Tribolium castaneum: one gene and its partner. The protein of the gene in region 1 purifies or fractionates together with the protein of each later gene. This does not show direct contact. Links are inferred from orthologs where the notes say so. Each region holds a gene or a part of one and is shown in the gene's direction. Other genes may lie near its edges.

Region 1 (3,925 bases):
AAAATAACCGGTACCTCCCTTTGAACCCCACAAATGCGCTCAAAGAAGGCACAGATTGGCAAGTTCCCGTTCTGACCGGAATTTCGAAACCTATCACCGACGAGCAATTTAGTAACGTTTTTTTGACAATCGTCCCTCCTTGACCCTTATTTTTAGTGCAGTGGTTGGAACTCGCAAGTCAGGGCTTCACCCAGTTACAACAATACGTCGAAAAGGTGAAAATCCCCGAAATTGCGCGTTTGTATAAACTCGGGGCGTCCAACAAAGACCACATTTATGACCTTATCAGGTGGCAGTACTTCTCGTCGAACCAAGGGGACGTTAGACTCCTCTACGACGAGTTGAAAGATTTTGAGTTTCAGGCCAAAGTGGAAGCGCCACATTTTTTGCAACTTTCGCACCTGATTTCGTCATACGTGCAACCAATTTATGTTTATTTTATGGATGATGTTGGGTTTGTTCTCAATACAACCGATTCGACCATTACCACAGACCTTCTCTTGGTATTTGGACCGATTTTGCTGAAGCAAGTGGCCAGGCGGCGGTTCAACGCCAACGAAATGAATTTGAGTCGACAAATCAAACAGTTATGGACCAACTTTATAATGTTTGGGTATTTCCCCCAACATGAATAGTCCAAAGTCTAGGAAAAAATTTCAGGGAGCCGACACTAAACAATCAGGTCAGATCGTGGCGAAAATACACCTCGGGGGACTATTATATCGAAAATTTTGGGCCGGTTAATTCCCACATAAATGAAGAAAATAAAAAACGCGTCCAGAGGGTTTTGTTCTGGAACCAGCTCGTGCCAAAAATGGCCAATATTAAGAATAATTTATCGAATAACATCCCGCGGGAGCTACAAAATAGTCCAGGTAATAACTAATTCACAAAGTTGCATTTTATTTGGTAAGTTCTAGACCCGGCTGCAGGTTTCCGGCATGCAATGTACACTTTGGTGGCTCTTGTGATCGCCCTGCTCGCTTTGCTCCTAATTTGCATTGTTTTATTGAAAAAGCGATCGAGGGAGCGGGAAAATCATCTTCATATGGGATATTAAAAATAAGTTGCAAACCAGTTTTCAATTAACTAAATATATTTAGATGTCTCATCACTTGTGATACGTTTTTGGGCGACAAGACAGGACTATTAAGTTTTTTTAATTCTATTTATAAATGTCAGCGGAATCAGGTAGACGGGAAAATATGTACATATCGGTGCTTAACAAACGCATTTATAAATATATTTCGACTGTAGATGTGTCGTTACAACAATTTTATTGTTTTTGTCATCACCTTTGTAAAAATAGTGTCCAAAAATAATTATCTTGTGACCTTCACTGTACATACTTATCTAGTTTGTTATTGGCCATTTATGTACAATGACATATAGATTCCACCAATGGCGAGCACAGCCCCTTATTTAAATCAAAACGCCTATTTTTGTAAATAGTTATTAAAAATATTAAATGTGTACTAAAAATAAAAACTAATAGATATTTATCTGTCCCGTTTAGTTTGTTTTAAAATAAAATCCCGCATTCTTAACCTAGAAACCTAATTAGCACAGGTGGAAAAAGTATAAATATGTGTATAAAAAATACAGTTTTTTGCGTAAGAAAATCGAAAAATCGTTTTTATTACCTTCCCTTTACCAAAAATCAAAATCAATGCTTTTTTCCTAGAGTTATGGGAAAAACCTAACCTAGATCAATATAAAATAACTTAAGGAGTGTGTTTTGCTTAATTATCCCACAAATTGGCCGAAAGTTGCGTCACTGAGCAATTTCTCGCTCCGTCTTTTTTTATGGACAATTATTTCAGATAAAACATTCAGACATTTGGACTTTGTGCATTCGTGCTGTTCCCCAATTAGATAAATACCAGTGATAAGTGTGCAGTGCCTTTATTGCGAAAACCAAACAATGTCTTCCCTCTGGAACTCTCTTTTAAAAGTCCCGACTCAGATAAAACAATTCTCCGTAACTTTTTTACAAATTCGCAAAAAACATGACATAACCTCAATCATTTTCAGGTTCCGGTGCGTTATTTGAACCTGTTGGAGTACCAAAGCAAGCACCTTTTGCGCAAAAATGGGGTGGCTGTGCAAGACTTTTGCATGGTTGATGATAAGGGATGCTCCGAGTTCGATAAATTTAGTAAAAGTGTTAATAAAAGTTGGGGTTATGTCACTGTTTAATTTTTTGCAGATGTGAAAGAATACGTAATAAAGGCACAAATTCTGGCGGGTGGTCGCGGCAAAGGCCACTTTACCAATGGTTTTAAAGGCGGGGTTCATGTCACTGAGAAGTAAAATTTTTTTTGTGGTTTTGTCAAAATTGAGCGTTTGTTTCAGACGCAATGAAGTCGACGATATCGTCAAAAAAATGCTCGGCCACAGGCTTATCACGAAGCAGACGCCCAAGGACGGCATCGAGGTGAAAAAAATCATGATTGCCGAAAGTGTGAACATTCAGAGGGAGACCTACGTTTGCATTTTAATGGACAGGCAGAAGAACGGGCCTGTCTTAATTGCGTCCCCCGCAGGCGGCGTGGACATCGAAGCCGTGGCTGAGAAGACGCCCCATTTGATCAAAAACATCCCCATTGATATTCACAAGGGGGTGACCGATAGTATGGCCAATGAGGTGGCCGAGTTCCTGGAGTTCAAGGGGCCCCTCAAGGGTTTGGCCGCAGCCGAGCTGAAAAAACTGTGGCAGTTCTTCCTCGCCGTCGATGCCACTCAGCTCGAAATCAACCCTTTGGTCGAAACGGACAACAATAAAGTGATCGCAGTGGATGCGAAAATCAATTTCGACGACAACGCGCAGTTCCGCCAAAAGGACATCTTCGCGTTGGAGGACGTCACCGAGAGCGACCCCCGCGAGGTCGAAGCGGCGAAATACAACCTGAACTACATCGGGATGACAGGAAACATCGGCTGTTTGGTCAACGGCGCCGGTTTGGCCATGGCCACCATGGACATCATCAAGCTGCATGGGGGCGACCCCGCCAACTTCCTCGACGTCGGGGGCAGCGTCCGCGAGGAGCAGGTCAAAGCCGCGTTCAATATTCTCACGTCTGATAAGAACGTTAAATGTATTTTGGTCAACGTTTTCGGCGGGATCGTGAATTGCGCGACGATTGCCAATGGAATCGTGGGTGCAATGAAGGCGATGAAGCTTGAAGTGCCTTTGATTGTCAGACTGGAAGGCACGAATGCGGCGGAGGCCCGGAGAATTATCAAGGATTCAGGCATGAATATCCAAACAGCTGAAAATCTCGACGATGCCGCCAAAAAAGCGGTGCAGAATGCCTAACGTGTTTTTGTTGATAAAGTGTTAATTTGTTGATATTGCTCATTAGTCAACAGCACAAAAAACTGTTCAAATGACCAATGTTTTCATTACTTCGTTTTGATATTGTATTTTCGGTTAATAAAAATTTCTCATATACTATTCGTTTTTCATTACACCATTATATCCCAGATAATAGTTTTAAAGTATTCAAAATTTTTTTTCTTCAAATGGCACCCTATTACGATAATTTTTTTGATAAAAGATTATGCTCTAAAATACTAAAAGTACTAATACTTACTAAAAAGAATTTCGAAAATTTATTTTTGAAAAAACTCGTTCCATACTTTTGCCCACCTCTGTATTTAAGGCAGTCAGGTAAGGTAATGTGAATATAACTATAAAATTTGAAGTTTGCTTGATAAAAGTTATGTACTTTTGTGAGAAAATTTTACGGTACTGTTTTTTTATTGCTTTTTCGATTAATCAAGTTTTTTAAAACAATTTTCAGTATTCCTTCATCTTATATCCTAGTTTAAGTCATTAAAAAAAATACAGCACCCTTGTTCCTTGGACAAATCGCAATCATTTTTTAAAATCGTATTTGGGCATTTGAAAAAGTAAGCTTAG
Region 2 (3,925 bases), about 510 kb from region 1:
GGCATGCATTGCCCTATCGTCGTGCCAAGACGTGGAAATTAATAATAAGTGCTCCTACTCTATGAACAAATCAATTTTTGGATGCCAGGATTTGTCAGACAGTGTGAAAAATATTGACGGGTTTATCACACCCCAAACCCGAATGCTAATGATAAGAAACAGCAACGTACGATTCGCCCCTTATCACCACAATCTGACAAATTATCAACATCTCATTAACTACAACATTATCGATAATAATCAAGTACAAATCGACGAATTTGCCTTTTATGGTATGACTAATTTAAATTATCTCCGAATCACAGGAAACTACCTTCCTGTTTTGAAAAACGACACATTTGTCGGACTTGACAATTTAGTATTTTTACTTTTACCGAAGAATAATATTTCGTCGTGTGAACCAAAATCATTCGTTGGCTTGCAAAGTGTGACACAAATTAACCTTGCTGAAAATAAAATTCAGACAATTCAGAGTAATTTGTTTAGTAATCTTAACGAGTTGAATCATTTGTTTCTTGACCACAATCAAATTAAAAAAATTGAGATGCATGCTTTTGCGGATATTCCAAATCTGGAAGTAATTGATTTGAGTTTCAATAAATTGGAAATTGTAAACACAGACGTGTTTAATGCTGTGCACAAACTGAACACTTTACTTCTCCATTTCAACAATATCAAAACTCTTGCGGGAATTTTTCACTTAAATAACTTAAAGTTCTTAAGGTTGGATAACAACAATTTGGACGAAATTGAAGGAAACACTTTTGCAAACTTGGAAAATATTTATACCATTGACTTGTCACATAATAATTTGTCCACTATAACGAGCCAACCGTTTGTCCATTTAAAATCGCTTAAACACTTGCATTTGGGCGGAAACAATGCCAATGCTTCATTTTTTGAGCGCCTTAAAGAAACGGTCTCTGTTGTAACATAATCTGTATCTGATCTTTGAATAAATAAATGTTATTAAGAATTGGCTGTTTTTTATTTAAAAGCTAAAACGGCTTCATATTTATTTGGTGCTATGTATGGTCAAAATACTACATTTTTTAAGTTTTTGTTTAAAACGCGAATTTAATGGCTTGATAATTTTGCTCAAAACCACAACTTCGCATTTATCTCATGAAATAACATCAGATCACCTTTTTTTACTTAATTTGATTTCGAGCGCACAAAACGAGGAAAATAAACGATTTCTTGCATTATTCAATGTTTTATTGTAAAATTATATAAATCTTTTAAACACATAGCGTTTAAATTTTGAAAATGACTACGGAATAGCATCATCTGTCGGCGGCAAAGCGAACGAGGGGCCACGTGACCTGCAATTTTACCAAAAGCTACTAATAGAACCGCCGCAGGTCGCGCCACCATAGCAGCAAGTGCATTGTGAAAATCGCTTTCGACTGAACTTTCGGTAAATGTTTGCCTAATTTTCTACTTTTGTGTTAATTTTCCTAAAACAAAGTTAATTTTAAAAACGACATGTTGAACGGTAAAATAACGCACTTGGTTTTAGCACTGGTGACAAAAGCGAATCGTCGCAATGGCCACACATACCAGGATATTGAGCCGAATAATTCGTAAGTGAGAAATTACATAACTCTGAATTAAATTTGTTTTTAAAATAGACTGGAACAATCGTTCCGTGTCCGCTTCATTTGAATGTATTTTTGGGCGTAAAGTGTCATTTTAGGGCGAAAAAAAATATTTCAAACACTTAACCTAACAGGTGCAAAGTTCACAAATTTATTGATAATGTGTTGTACTTGCAGCCGACAGCCTGAAAGTTGGACAATCGATCCGGTTTAATAGCTATGAGGCCACTCGAATGAACCTGAAGTTGACCGGGAACACGAAAGTCATCTGTCAGGGGTTTACGGGAAAACAGGGGACCTTCCACAGTAAACAGGCCATCGAATATGGCACTAAAATGGTCGGGGGGGTCTCTCCCGGAAAAGGGGGCAAGACCCACCTGGACTTGCCCGTCTTCAACAGTGTCAAAGAGGTTAGTTTGCCGAAAAAACAGCGCCAGATATGTAACACCGACCATAAATAACGCTCAAAACACAACGCACCTTGTCTTTATTGTTTTCAAAGCTAATTTAGTTGCGTTAGTTGCATAATCACGGCTTGGCAAGTGGTAAAACCTTGAAAATTTTCCAAAATGTCGCGATAAAGTGGCCCTTTGGTACTGATTGTTTGTTGTCAGGCGAAGGCGGCCACAAATGCCGACGCTTCAGTCATCTACGTGCCGCCCCCGGGGGCTGCCGCCGCCATTCTGGAAGCAATGGACGCGGAAATACCTCTAATAGTCTGTATCACTGAAGGCATTCCTCAACAAGACATGGTTAAAGTAAAACATAGGCTTCTTCGTCAGAACAAAAGTCGGTTGGTAGGCCCGAACTGTCCGGGTATCATTGCCCCCGAGCAGGTAATCCGCCCCTAATTTTTGCCCCCTTATGACCCATTCATTATCAGTGCAAAATTGGTATTATGCCCGGACACATCCACCAAAAAGGAGTCGTTGGGGTGGTGTCGAGGTCCGGCACTCTGACGTACGAAGCTGTCCACCAAACTACCCAAGTCGGTTTAGGTCAAACTCTCTGTGTGGGGATTGGCGGCGATCCCTTCAACGGGACGGACTTCATTGACTGTCTCGAGGTGTTCTTGAAGGACCCCGAAACGAAAGGTATTATCCTTATTGGGGAGATTGGAGGAGTCGCCGAGGAGCAAGCTGCAGAGTATCTCATGCAACACAATACTGTACGTTCGTGTTTTTCGTTGTGTTAACTTATTAATGATGTTTTGAGCAGGGGCCTAATGCGAAGCCTGTCGTTTCGTTCATTGCGGGGCTGTCGGCGCCTCCCGGCCGGCGCATGGGCCACGCTGGGGCGATCATTTCCGGGGGCAAAGGGGGCGCCCAAGACAAAATCAATGCCTTAGAGAAGGCCGGAGCCATCGTTACCAAATCACCCGCTCAAATGGGCAACGAGTTATTGAAAGAAATGCGCCGTTTAGGCCTGGCATAAACGCGCTTCATGTCAATTGATATTGTATTATAGTTTATCCATTAAAATCGATTATACCTAAGCAGAGTGTATTTAATCCGCTTATTAATGTTGATAAGATGTGTTCCAGTAACATTGTTATTTCATTCGTTAAGTAAAAATTGTTGTTTTAAACATTTGTTTCATTTTCCAATAAACGAGACGTTAGATGGCACACGAACTTTTATTTACATTGAACAAATTTCGAGCAAATTGATAAAAATCAAAATTTACAACGTGGTTGAGTCTAGGTGGACCAAAGGTCGAAGTTCGGTTGCTTTATTGGTCATATCGAAAATACCTTGAACACTGTTCTAACAGTTCAATCTCTGGTTATTACATAAATGAGTAAGCCGCATCCGTTTTCATTAATGGAAATTAATTGAAACTATAACCCGGAAATGGTTATTTAATCGTATTTTATTATTACTTTCGCGGATTTAAACAGTAATTGTTGAAGGGAATAAAGGAATTATTCCCTTATAAAATGCAATGAAAACTTGAGGAAATACGAGAACCACCAAGATTTTTGGCTTTAAATCTTTTTGTGTGTTTTAATTCCAGATTATCAATTTTATTTTCAGCAGAATTTAAAAAGCGAGCGCAAGCCAATGCACATGCGGAGGCAAATGCATCTTTTTTATGCTAGACGGGGTCAATACTTTCTGTTTCTTTCTAACTTCTGCTGCAGACTATGCGATACCTTTCTCTGTCTCCTTCTACTGTGTGATTGCTTGCGCATTGCATTCATGGACCTAACCTAAACGAAACAATACGTTTTGTACAAACATTTTGTTTCAAACTGTTGTGTTGTGTAGTGAAAAACATCTAAACATTGCTTTATTTTCATATCAGTTTATCACAGAAATGTA

The links.
Region 2: the proteins of ScsbetaG (region 1) and Scsalpha1 fractionate together in Homo sapiens (co-fractionation; 6 studies listed by BioGRID and IntAct, counting the BioPlex papers as one, with this or other methods). This does not show direct contact. The link is inferred for Tribolium castaneum from reciprocal best matches to the Homo sapiens genes SUCLG2 and SUCLG1.

What each region holds. Positions count from the first base shown.
Region 1 is NC_087403.1:5,255,361-5,259,285, forward strand, and holds ScsbetaG (succinate--CoA ligase [GDP-forming] subunit beta, mitochondrial), read left to right. Parts: upstream 1-1,714; 5' UTR 1,715-1,924; coding exon 1,925-1,981; intron 1,982-2,034; coding exon 2,035-2,158; intron 2,159-2,209; coding exon 2,210-2,309; intron 2,310-2,355; coding exon 2,356-3,319; 3' UTR 3,320-3,454; downstream 3,455-3,925. Other genes in the region: pyrethroid hydrolase Ces2a, read left to right, coding at 1-111, 157-613, 661-875, 921-1,060. UniProt on the Homo sapiens protein: GTP-specific succinyl-CoA synthetase functions in the citric acid cycle (TCA), coupling the hydrolysis of succinyl-CoA to the synthesis of GTP and thus represents the only step of substrate-level phosphorylation in the TCA.
Region 2 is NC_087403.1:4,748,382-4,752,306, reverse strand, and holds Scsalpha1 (succinate--CoA ligase [ADP/GDP-forming] subunit alpha, mitochondrial), read left to right. Parts: upstream 1-1,292; 5' UTR 1,293-1,420; exon of another isoform or gene 1,421-1,470; intron 1,471-1,522; 5' UTR 1,523-1,549; coding exon 1,550-1,586; intron 1,587-1,778; coding exon 1,779-2,011; intron 2,012-2,215; coding exon 2,216-2,437; intron 2,438-2,484; coding exon 2,485-2,769; intron 2,770-2,819; coding exon 2,820-3,035; 3' UTR 3,036-3,188; downstream 3,189-3,925. Other genes in the region: leucine-rich repeat-containing protein 70, read left to right, coding at 1-937. UniProt on the Homo sapiens protein: Succinyl-CoA synthetase functions in the citric acid cycle (TCA), coupling the hydrolysis of succinyl-CoA to the synthesis of either ATP or GTP and thus represents the only step of substrate-level phosphorylation in the TCA.